3 linked regions of the Xenopus tropicalis genome follow. The protein of the gene in region 1 purifies or fractionates together with the protein of each later gene. This does not show direct contact. Links are inferred from orthologs where the notes say so. Each region holds a gene or a part of one and is shown in the gene's direction. Other genes may lie near its edges.

Evidence for each region.
Region 2: the proteins of srp9 (region 1) and srp54 purify together in Homo sapiens (co-immunoprecipitation; 4 studies listed by BioGRID and IntAct, counting the BioPlex papers as one, with this or other methods). This does not show direct contact. The link is inferred for Xenopus tropicalis from reciprocal best matches to the Homo sapiens genes SRP9 and SRP54.
Region 3: the proteins of srp9 (region 1) and larp7 purify together in Homo sapiens (affinity purification with mass spectrometry; 3 studies listed by BioGRID and IntAct, with this or other methods). This does not show direct contact. The link is inferred for Xenopus tropicalis from reciprocal best matches to the Homo sapiens genes SRP9 and LARP7.

The regions. Positions count from the first base shown.
Region 1 is NC_030681.2:8,410,247-8,413,230, reverse strand, and holds the end of srp9 (signal recognition particle 9 kDa protein), read left to right. Parts: intron 1-297; coding exon 298-368; intron 369-1,922; coding exon 1,923-2,042; 3' UTR 2,043-2,382; downstream 2,383-2,984. UniProt on the Homo sapiens protein: Component of the signal recognition particle (SRP) complex, a ribonucleoprotein complex that mediates the cotranslational targeting of secretory and membrane proteins to the endoplasmic reticulum (ER).
Region 2 is NC_030684.2:109,397,293-109,401,618, forward strand, and holds the start of srp54 (signal recognition particle 54 kDa protein), read left to right. Parts: upstream 1-1,455; 5' UTR 1,456-1,581; intron 1,582-3,906; 5' UTR 3,907-3,932; coding exon 3,933-4,010; intron 4,011-4,326. UniProt on the Homo sapiens protein: Component of the signal recognition particle (SRP) complex, a ribonucleoprotein complex that mediates the cotranslational targeting of secretory and membrane proteins to the endoplasmic reticulum (ER).
Region 3 is NC_030677.2:68,982,462-68,986,116, forward strand, and holds part of larp7 (la-related protein 7), read left to right. Parts: intron 1-1,493; coding exon 1,494-1,865; intron 1,866-1,998; exon of another isoform or gene 1,999-2,169; coding exon 2,170-2,308; exon of another isoform or gene 2,309-2,833; intron 2,834-3,463; exon of another isoform or gene 3,464-3,526; intron 3,527-3,655. UniProt on the Homo sapiens protein: RNA-binding protein that specifically binds distinct small nuclear RNA (snRNAs) and regulates their processing and function.

The DNA.
Region 1 (2,984 bases):
TTTTATTGTTACTTTTGATAACTTTCTGTTCAGGGCCTCTCCTGTTCATCTTTCCTTCTCTCATTTACTCAACTGCCTAGTTGCTATGGTAAACTGGACCACAGCAACCAGAGAGCTGCTAAACTTCCATTCTGGAGAGCTCCTGAACCTATAAACTAATTCAAATACTATGAACATAAAAAATGAAGGCAAATTACTGGTTCTGTTGGTATTATGAAATTAGGGCAAAACTGTTCTCTTCTGTGGGGGCAGGCTGATTCTTTCATTAAATGAACATTTTATTTATTTTTTTTCCGTAGGTTCGTGTTGTGCTGAAATACAGACATTGTGATGGGAACCTCTGTATTAAAGTTACAGATGATGTAGTGGTAAGTGTGTTATATGCAGGTTTGCTCCTCATTCACTGGCTGCACCTGTGAGTAGTAAAGTGAGTAAAGCTGGCCGTACACCTCCACATCCCTGCCCGATAGATATGTGGAAGATGTTTGGCCACGTATTGATTGAGCAGGCTGCTGGGAGGAGCAATGACATTCCAGTATCTAGTGAGAACCTTCCCAGAAGTGTAGGGGCAGTTAGAGGGGCAACTTCATATAAGCCCTGTGGTTTGGTTATGGGATGTTGGGCAGGCAGGGGTCCTGATACTGTTAGTAACACAGTGTGTATCTGAGGGCTGTTGTCCTTTTCTAGCAAGGAAGTGTAACTACCAAGGCTTGGATTCCTCCCTGCTACCATAAAGTGCTGGTTACTCTCTCACCACACACAGTAAGATCCTCTCTTGCATGGTTACCCAATGAGCGGAACTTTGTCCGATTTAGTCACCAATGTGCTGGGCCAAATGTAGAATGATCCGATCATTTGGAACCTGGGCCAATCATCACTTCATGCTTCAGTCCAAGATTGTTGGGAGAGGGGCACATGAGTCCACTGATGTCGTCCATGTCCAATGGGATTTTCTAGCCTGCCTGATACAGGTTGGTTTGTGAGTCTGAAGTGGCCAAGTCATCAAGTTCTATTAGCCGTGGGGGGTTCAGTTTTGGTCTCTGTTCTCCAGTGGTGCAAACACCCAATACTGCCCCTGCAGGCTGCCCTTGCGTTTAAAGGAAAACTATTCCCCCAAACAACGTGGGTCTCTAAAAATATACTGCATAAACCGCTCATATGTAAAACCCTGCTTCATCTAAATAAACCATTTTCATATAAATATACTTATTTAGCAGTATGTGCCATTGGGTAATCCTAAATAGGAAACTGCCATTTTATGTACTAAGGGCCGCCCCCTGGGATCATAGGAGTCACAGAGGACACAAACAAGCCAAGGCACACATACATGCTAGGCCCCATCAGCCAATGAATGGGCAGAGTTCTGCCTTTTGCTCCCACACTACTTCCTGTTACAGTTAGAGCTGCATCACTTCCTGTCAGCTGATCTCTGAGGGAGCACACAGCCCATCACTAAATGGCGGCTCAAGGGAAAGGATATAAAAGGGCAATATTTACTGATATATTCCAGTTTGGGGAGATTCTTTAATAGGCCACTTAACATAATATAAACTGTCTGGTTCCGTATTCATTCTGGGGGTATAGTTTTCCTTTAATAGCAGCTGGGTGTCACTGTGCCCATGGAGTGGGCAGTAAGGGATACAGGCAGCCAGAATGGAGGGGGTAGTTATGGGAAAGAATAGCCCAAGAGAATGGTAGGGAGGTTTTATCTTTACATTGTAGGTTCTAGGGGATATCAGGAAGCACCCAGCGGGTTCCCGCTAGGCATTAGTGAGGTGACACTTAGCATACGGGGATGCCAATCTGTCTATGTGTCACCTTGGCATTGCCACCATCCGCCATAAGACTGCGCTACGGGGCTAAAAGATCAGACTGTCTGAAATAGCTGATGTGTTTCCCCCCCCCTCCCTTTCTATTTTCAGTGCTTACTGTATAGGACGGACCAGGCTCAGGACGTCAAGAAGATCGAGAAATTCCACAGTCAGCTGATGCGGCTAATGGTTGCCAGGGAATCCCGCAGTGCTGCCATGGAAACAGACTGAATGTCTGAAACTGAGGAGAGAAGGGGCTGCTGCGGTCACACTACACCGTGGCCGGGGAGGGGTGGGGGGTAAGAAGATTGAGAAAAGGGACAGTTAGAGGTCTGGAGTAACTGAGCTGCCACACATGCAGGGAGTTGCTCAGACGGAGGCAGAAGAGTGCTATGCTTTCAGTGGAAAGCTTCTATTTATTTTGTTTGGGATTTGTACTAAGGAAAATGGATCTTTCTTCCAAAAACAGATGTATTGAGCATGTCATGGACCGACTTTATTTTATTTTTTTTTCTTTTAAATATAGAAATGGTATAAAATGATATCAATAGAATAAATTCCCTTAGTCATCGCTAATTGTTCATTTAGTTGTGTTTCTATCAGGGCTGTCTCTTCATCTCGCCTTGTCCCCCTATTTGAATAGTTGGGGGGACAAACAGCTTGTGGGGTGGAGCCTGATAGACTGCCCCAGGGTGGGGCTGGGGAGGGGCAATAGAGAGGTCTCAATGTACCAAATGTTTGCTCTGAAAAGAGGCTAGACCCTCTATGAACCTTTCCAATAAAACCTATATTTTTAATTATCAACTTAACTCCTTTTATTTTCAAGATGCTTTCACTTGAACTTATTAAAGGGAACGTTTACTCTTGAGTCTGCTTTTAGTATGATGTAGAGAGTAATCGGAGACGGCTTGCAATTGGTCTGTTTTTTTTTTTTAAGTAATTTATTTTGTTCTGCAGCTCTCCGCTCAGTAGTTTCATCAGTTATCTGGTTGCCAGGGTCCAAATTACCTTAGCAACCAGCAGTGGTTCAAATGAGAGACTGGTATATGAATAGGAGAGGGCCTGAATAGAAAAATAAGTAATAAAAAGTAACAATAACTGTAGCCTCACTGGGCAGTAGCTTTTTGAATAGTGACCCCCATTTTAAAACGTTTGAAGAAAAAGGCAAATTAA
Region 2 (4,326 bases), on another chromosome or scaffold:
GAAGCCAGATTGCAGGGAGTTAAGAAAGGAATTGTGAGTGAGATGCTGGACCAGGCGGTTGTAAACAAGCCTTTCCAACAATTTAGATGCAAATATTAGAAAGGAAACTGGGCGACAGTTGACAGGGTACCTAGGATAAAGGGAAGTTTTTTTCAGGATTGATTAGTGATTAGTGCTTGTTTATACAATAAAAGTACCAGTAGAAAACGAGAGGTTAAATAGGTGGGTAAGATGGGCTGAGTGTATCAGAAATTGGTTTCAGGAGGTAAGAAAGTGTTAAGCTGGCCATACACGTGGTGATCTGACGATGTTTCGTGCGACCAAACATCATCAGATCCGCCACACACCATTCAGGGCTGAATCGGCAGGTAAGGAGGTAGAAACAATAGGATTTCTACCTCCTTCTGCCGATTCAGCGCTGAAGGAAGATTTTGGTCAGGCGCCTTCTATGGCGCCTGATCAAAATTTTCAAACTGGTAAGATTGGCGAGTCGGCCGATATCAGCAGCCTCCTGTGATATCGGTCGACTCGCCGACATACCATACACGCACCGAATATCGTACGAAACGAGGTTTCGTACGATATTATCGGTGCGTGTATGGCCACCTTCAGGTAGGTAAGTTTAGGGCTGAGTGTATCAGAAACTGGGTAAAGGAGGTGAGACGGCATGGGGCCAAGGAAGATTCTAATTTCCCACCATGTCATCTTATAAATTGGCCCTTTTTTTAAACTGTGAAAAATCCACCCCTTGTTAGCACAAAAATGTTAAAGTTGGCTTTGGCAACCTGCACAAAGTGTCTTTCTCATTTCCTGGCTCTACCTAAGATGATCAGAAAACCCTGCACTACACTGATGAGCAAAAGAAGGGCAAAATCGGTCTGTAGTTGGAAATCTGATCAGCTGTTATCCCGGCTTCTGATTTAAAAACCCAGTGGGTGAGCTTTAACCCATACTAGGCTAAACCCATGTAAATGGGATTTTCTTTAAACTCGTTGGGATTAGTTCCCAGAATTCCTTTTGTCTACTGGCACAAGAAATAAACTTTACTTTACTATGTAAAATATTGGGAACAGAAGCTCTTGAAGCAGCAGGTATTGCTTGTAACCACTGGCAGAACCAGACGCTACTTCACCTCCCCCCTCCAGGCAGCGCTATGCGCCTTCTCTCCGCCTATATACGGTAATCGTGACATCACGGTCTCGCGAGATGAGCCTTGTGAGGTTTGTTTTTAGCTGCGCAGAAGTGAAGGAGGTTGATATTAACGGCACTGCAGGACTGGTAAAGAGTAATCCGGGACTGCGGGATGTGAAAAAAAAACTGTGTCTGTGTCTGGATAAGCGAAACTGCTGCGTGTGTGCCGGAAGCGGATATCAGCTGACGGGTCAAAGGGAAACTTGGAATGGTGACGTTTCATATAGAACGGAAGTTCCCGTGCTGTGAAATTCCTGTCGGTCTGTTGAGTTTGTAATTTCGTTATATGGACATTGCGTTGCCTGAGCATCGACCGGTCCAGTTGGGGATATAAAAGCATATAGTGGGAGGGCTGAGGGACCCCCACATTGGGGGCTTATTTCTCATCAGGTAAGCTATGTTACATGCAAGTCTCAAGTCCTTCTAATCTCAGTCTCCACTGCGGTATGGTAGTGAGGCTGTATGTAGTGAGTAACAGCTGCCTCAGGTTTAGACCTTTTTGCCTTTCCGTTTGCTAATTTCTTTCGGCAAAAAAAAAGCTTTGGGGGAAGGACCAGTTAGATAACACGATGCATCACGTCTCAATATAGCCAGTATGGTATTCAAGTACATTAGCCAGCCAAATGTAAGGGTATCAAGCCTAAATAGAACAAATACATGCAGGTATGCAAGTGCAGTTATTACCCAGTAGTATGGTAACCCTCTTTAGATTTCTATATACTTAGCAACTAATATTTATTTAATATTTGTTCTGACTTCTTATTTGGGGGTCTATTAGGTGCTTAGCCCTAGCAGGTCTCCAGGTGCTTCTTTGTACTGTGTAGTTCCACAAAACTGATGATGATACTCCAGCGGTGGATTTTTTTTTTTACTTGGCAGAAACTAAACCTGTTGCATAGCATAGGTATTAAGAATAATACTGGAGAATGTGGATCTTGTTCTTACATTAAGTGGCTTGGCCCTATCTGTGGAATGGTGTTGCATGGGAGTGTCTTAGTGGGGCCTTGTGCATATGGTCCACTTCTTGGTCTGAACCAGTGGTATTGCTGAACTACACGATGAGTGTGATGGAATAAACTTAGGGGTAATTCCATTTGTACAGTTATAGGACCCATTATCCAGAATGCTCAGGACCAAGGGTATTTCGGAGAAGGGGTCTTTCCGTAATTTGGATCTCCATACTACTAAAAAAATCAATAAAACGTTAATTAAACCCAATAGGATTGTTTTGCATCCAATAAGGATTATTTCTATCTTAGTTGGGATCAATTACAAGGTATGGTTTTATTACTACAGAGAAAAAGGAAATGAGTTTTAAAATTCCAAATTAATTGATTAAAATGGAGTCTATGGGAGACGGGCTTTCCGTAATTCAGAACTTTCTGGATAACGGGTTTCCGGATAAGGTATCCCATACCTGTATCTGCACTAATGTGTACTTCAGGGGGTGTTAAGAAGTACTTGCTGGGTATTGCTGTTGTAATCCACTACAGGAGGTGTTAGGTGTGTAACAGCAGCTGTAATTTAGATAATGCAGGCTACTAGTGTAGCCTGAGCTCTGTAATAGTGCCAGCCATTGTAAAGGCCAAAGCTCCTGAAAATGCAGTGAGGAAGTCAACCAGCAAGGTAAAAACTGCTCTCTACATGCCTAGGACTGATCATTCATGGGTACATGAGTCTTGACCTAGGATGCCAGATGTGATCAACCAACTGTTGGCGAGTAATCCTTTGTTAAAGGAGAACCAAAGGCTTGTAGAAAATATATATTATATTATATATATATATATTGCCCAGAGAACTTTTGGAATGTAATTTTTTTAATTGAATTGTTAAAAGTATTGCAGCAAGGAAGTCTGTTCAGAATAGTAGAGGATCTTTTTCCACATTTCCATCATCCAGTGTTTGCTGCTTTTAAAGTATGGGAAACGTAGTACTTGAACTCTGAGATTCATTTCTTAAGGAATGTTCACATATAAAGTATGCTTTTAGAGCAGCATTTTATAAATGCTCGTGAGTTGTATTCATTCCCTTGTAGGATGTCATGATTTTATTATTCCTAAGCAGAACTTAGTGACATGCAGCAGATAACATAAGTATAATTGCATCCCAAAGAATAAAAACTGAATATCACTAGACCTTTTGGTTGCAGGGCCCCAACAGTTCTGTGCATGTTTCTTTAAAGGGTGTCCGCTATCCTTTACATGAGTAGCATAGCATGTTTACCACCACTACAGGTGTGATCAGAAAGGCTTGTGTTTTAGCCCTGAGCCTGGATCCATGCAGGTCACACAGTGTAACCTTATCTAATTTAACTTACTCCTGTTAAGAGCACCATCTCTGGTAATGGGAGCTGGCAGGAAAGTTGGTTCCCAGCAACATCATTTCTAGCATCAATGGGTTGATCAGAGCGATTGGCTGTATTAGAAAGTATTGTGGTGCTGCCGGTGCTCATATGAATGATGTATTATGCTGGCTATGACTGGCATTGCACATTCTGAGGCTAGTAGGTTTTACACTGGAAACTGCCTTCAGTGTCCTGTAGCAAGGAAGTTTGATACTTGCCTACCTTACTGCAATCACAATGGAACGTTAAAGGGCAATGTATGTTAAATGTGTTTTTTCATAATGTTTGTCGCTGACAAGTTAATTATATCTGTTGTTTGTTCATGATAAACTTTCCATTTGTTCTGATAAGCATGTTGTGTTTTCATACAGGTGTTGTGTAACAAACAGAAGCCAAGATGGTGTTGGCAGACCTAGGACGGAAGATTACTTCAGCACTGCGCTCACTGAGCAATGCAACAATCATCAATGAAGAGGTGAGACAGTATTTTTATGCACCCAAATTGTAAAATGTATTTGTTTACGCATGCAACTGGTAAAAAACTATTTTTTGTTATAACTGTAGCTGCACCCAAAGCCACAACTACCTTTGTGCTCACTAGCTCAGGTACATAATACATGTTAGGGGACTCTGTAGCACTTTTCCAACTCCAATATAAATGATCCTTGTGCAACTGTACCTTGTATTTATTGTTATACTTTGTATTTATCTATTATTATTTTAATAACTCCCTTTTGTATTAATTCATTGTTCTACTGTACAGCGCTGCATACATAAGTAGCACTTTATAA
Region 3 (3,655 bases), on another chromosome or scaffold:
TACGCGCGGTATTTCATCCAATATTTTTGTTGCGATAAATAGCGTGCGCGGTATTTTTCGCATGCGCTAATTGTCGCGACATTAAGCACGCGACAATCGGCAGCATAAAATTGGCGACATTTTGCCCTGGGAAAGCACAGAGTGCTAGAGAGGTGCTGTATAAATGTTTATTTGCAAAAAAAAAAAAACCCCAAAAAACAATAAAAATATAAGTAAGAAAAAAAAAAGAAGTGCTAGAGTTATCACACTCGGCAGAAAATACACTACATACTAATTAACGCAAGTTGTTGCCCGCGACTATAATTTTTTGAAGCCTTTGCCAATTTTTGGACGTGCAGGGAATTTTTGCGTGGCGAATTTTTTTATGCATTTTGCCATTGGCGGATTGTTTTGCGAAACACATGAAAAAATTTGCTGCTTAAAAATTCGCCGCACGTGCAAAAATTTGCTGCGAATCCATGCCTGGCGAAACATTTCATCACTTGTAGCCGCATATGAACGCACACCATGTTAGCCATACACGCCAATACTTTCGTAAAATTACTGTATTAAAAATTACCATTTCCTTGCAAACTGGCGGCTGCGTCACTCTAGGGGAAACACATACTTGAATAAATAGCACTGCAAAGTCCATATTTTATTGGCAAAAGCTAATTTACTGTACTTTTCTATAATTATTATAACTAGTAATGTATTTTGTGCGACTAAAGATTTACCGCTATTGTACTGTATAATATCGCGACAACATATTCACCGCTATAGTACTGTATATTTTGGCGACAACATATTCACCGCTATAGTACTGTATATTTTGGCGACTAAATATTCACCGCTATAGTACTGTATATTTTGGCGACTAAATATTCACCGCTATAGTACTGTATATTTTGGCGACTAAATTTTTACCACTATTGTACTGTATATTTTGGCGACTAAATTGTTACCACTATTGTACTGTATAATAGTAGCGAAATTCCATACATGCCAAGACTTTAGTAAAATTGAGTAAAAAGACACATATTTGAATAAATAACACTGTAAGTCCATATTTTATTGGCAAAAACTCATTTACTGTACTTTTCTAAATTTTTTCGCCTGCCTGTAGTAGGTGTTAATTTTCGCATAGCCGAATGCAATATTTAGCTCGCCTAAGTTATAGTGAATCATGCGATCGTATTCTTTTCAGCGTGGAAATTAACGCATGCGTTAAAACTAGTGCAAAAAATACCGCATGCGAAAATGGCGACTTAACGCACGTGATAATACTATGGTGAATCGTGCGCTAATTATCGCGACTTATTTAACGCAAAAAAGCGTGCGATAATTTTTATTGCACTTTAGTGAATCGGGCCCTATATCTTATGCCTGTAATAGAAATAATATACCCTGTAGGGTAAAATACAATTTAATGATTTTATCTGTACATTAGTACAGGTGATATATCCAAATTAACCGAGCCAGCCAAGTAAATTCCCCTTGTTTATTATTTCCAGAAGAAAAGAAAAAGAAGAAGAAAAAGAAATCCAAGGCAAGAAAAGACAGTGTCGAAAAGGCAGAGGAGGATACTAAAGAGCAAGATATGGACATAATTTCTGAAGGCGTCCCTAAGAGACGCAAGACTGTATCTGAGAGCTCAGTACCTGATGTACAGGAAGCTGATAAGCAGACTGCCAAAAAGGAAAAAAAGAAAAAAGAGCGAGCAGAGAGTTTTGATCAGTCTGAGAAAGTCAGGCAAGGCAAAAGAAAGTGTAGCAGCTCAGAGGAACATGACTGCTCTTCTGCTAAGCAGAAGAAAAGTGATACTAAAGACCTGCCTCAGGATGAGAAGCCAATGGTAACTCAAGAAGTATTACAAGAATGTAAAGGTATTGTCTCCACAGATCTGTTGCCCAAGTTTATCCTTTTTGTCTATTCTATAATATGTATACAGTCAGACTATAAAATAAATATATCTTATCTATAGTAGTCAGGTATTTGCTTTCATTTTCTAGCTCCTAAAATAATACTACTCAAAACTAAATACTGGTTGGCTGCTATAAGGCAACAGCAAATACACTTGATGCATGGCACTTAGCATCTATGTAAGATAATAAGCTCTCAAGTGTTATATAATAATTATAGTATAGTATGGTATGTTATGGTTTCTGCATCTTATTGTTCATGAAACAGAGCTCTCTACAGAAGAAGAAAAGGATGCAGTGGATAAGAAAGAAATATCAGTGCCAAAAGTAAAAAGGAAGCGGAAGAAGAAGCATAAAGAGAGACACCGAGTTGGAGAAGAGGTTATACCTCTGAGAGTACTTTCAAAGTAAGTCCTTTCACTGTGCATTTAAACACAGTTTTCAGATGTGGAAATATGTTTGTGTTTGGTTATGAGAGGTATTTGCAAAAGCAGTTTTGTATTAAGCATTTTAATAAAAAAAACAAAATATCTAGGCCTACTAGACTTCACTAGTTAAAGGGGCAGTATATACCCTTTTGCCTACTTTTTTTTTTTTTTTTTTGCAAAACAGTCTTTGTAATTTTTTCTTTTTTACTAAATCCCCTATAATTAGCTAGCTAGTTCAACTAGAGATAATGAGCTCTATATAAACAAACTACCCCCACACTCCTTTTTGCCTTGTTTAGCTAAAGTAACTAAAACCATACATTTTATATATAAAACATATATCATTATTTTGCATGCTTGCATTTGGTTGAGTAGTTTTGTCCTCTTGCTCAACTATTTGAGTGCAGCTTGGGCAAACAGTCCTTGGAACTTATTGGATCACAGTTGGCCTTCCTGGACAGAAATTTAGATCTGATGATTCTTCTTGGTGCATGGTATGAGGCACTAGCAGATCCAAAAATAAGAAGAACACCAGATCTGCTTTTATACATGCTCAGCCAAATAAAGCAGATTATGGTACTGGCACAAAGGGAAATAAGCCACTACCGCGGGCTACTAATCTCCTCAAAATGCATTCTCACCTGCAATAATGAGAGGAAACTTTTGGCCGACTTCAATAAACGAAGTGCTGCTTATGTCTTTTTGCAGGCAATTTTACATTATTGCCAGTGGGAAAACATTTTGGGCAGTATTGAAGATTTATCGCGGGTGACTAATCTCTCCATTTACCAGTACCCTAAATGTTAATTACCATCCATGTAGATAGACAGACAGGGAGATAACTACCTTTTTCAACCAGATAACACCACCTGCTAATTAATTATAAGAAAAATAAAAAGGTTGCTACTTTTTTTTTTTTTTTTACATTTTTGGTATTTATGCATATAAAAATAGTGTTTAAGATTTTTTTTTTTTTTTTTAAAAATACTTATTTTTTCTAAAAACTTATATGTTAAGATATATTTAAGTATGTATTTTTAAAGATACAAAACAGTCATTTGTATGTTGGTATACAGATGAACTTAACATCCACTGGTAGAAAGTGAGTTTGTATAGCTGGCACTCTGCAGGCAGTCACCATTGCTACAGTGCAATTCTAGACAATATAGCACAGAGTTTGCACATAGGCAACAGTAACTGCACACCTACAGCGCAGTCCTATTACATGTTGTCCATCAGATATGCCGGATCAGAAATATAGCTTAATAGCTGGAACAAGTACATAATGAGAAGTCATATATGCCAAAACGTGAAGCACTTACTACT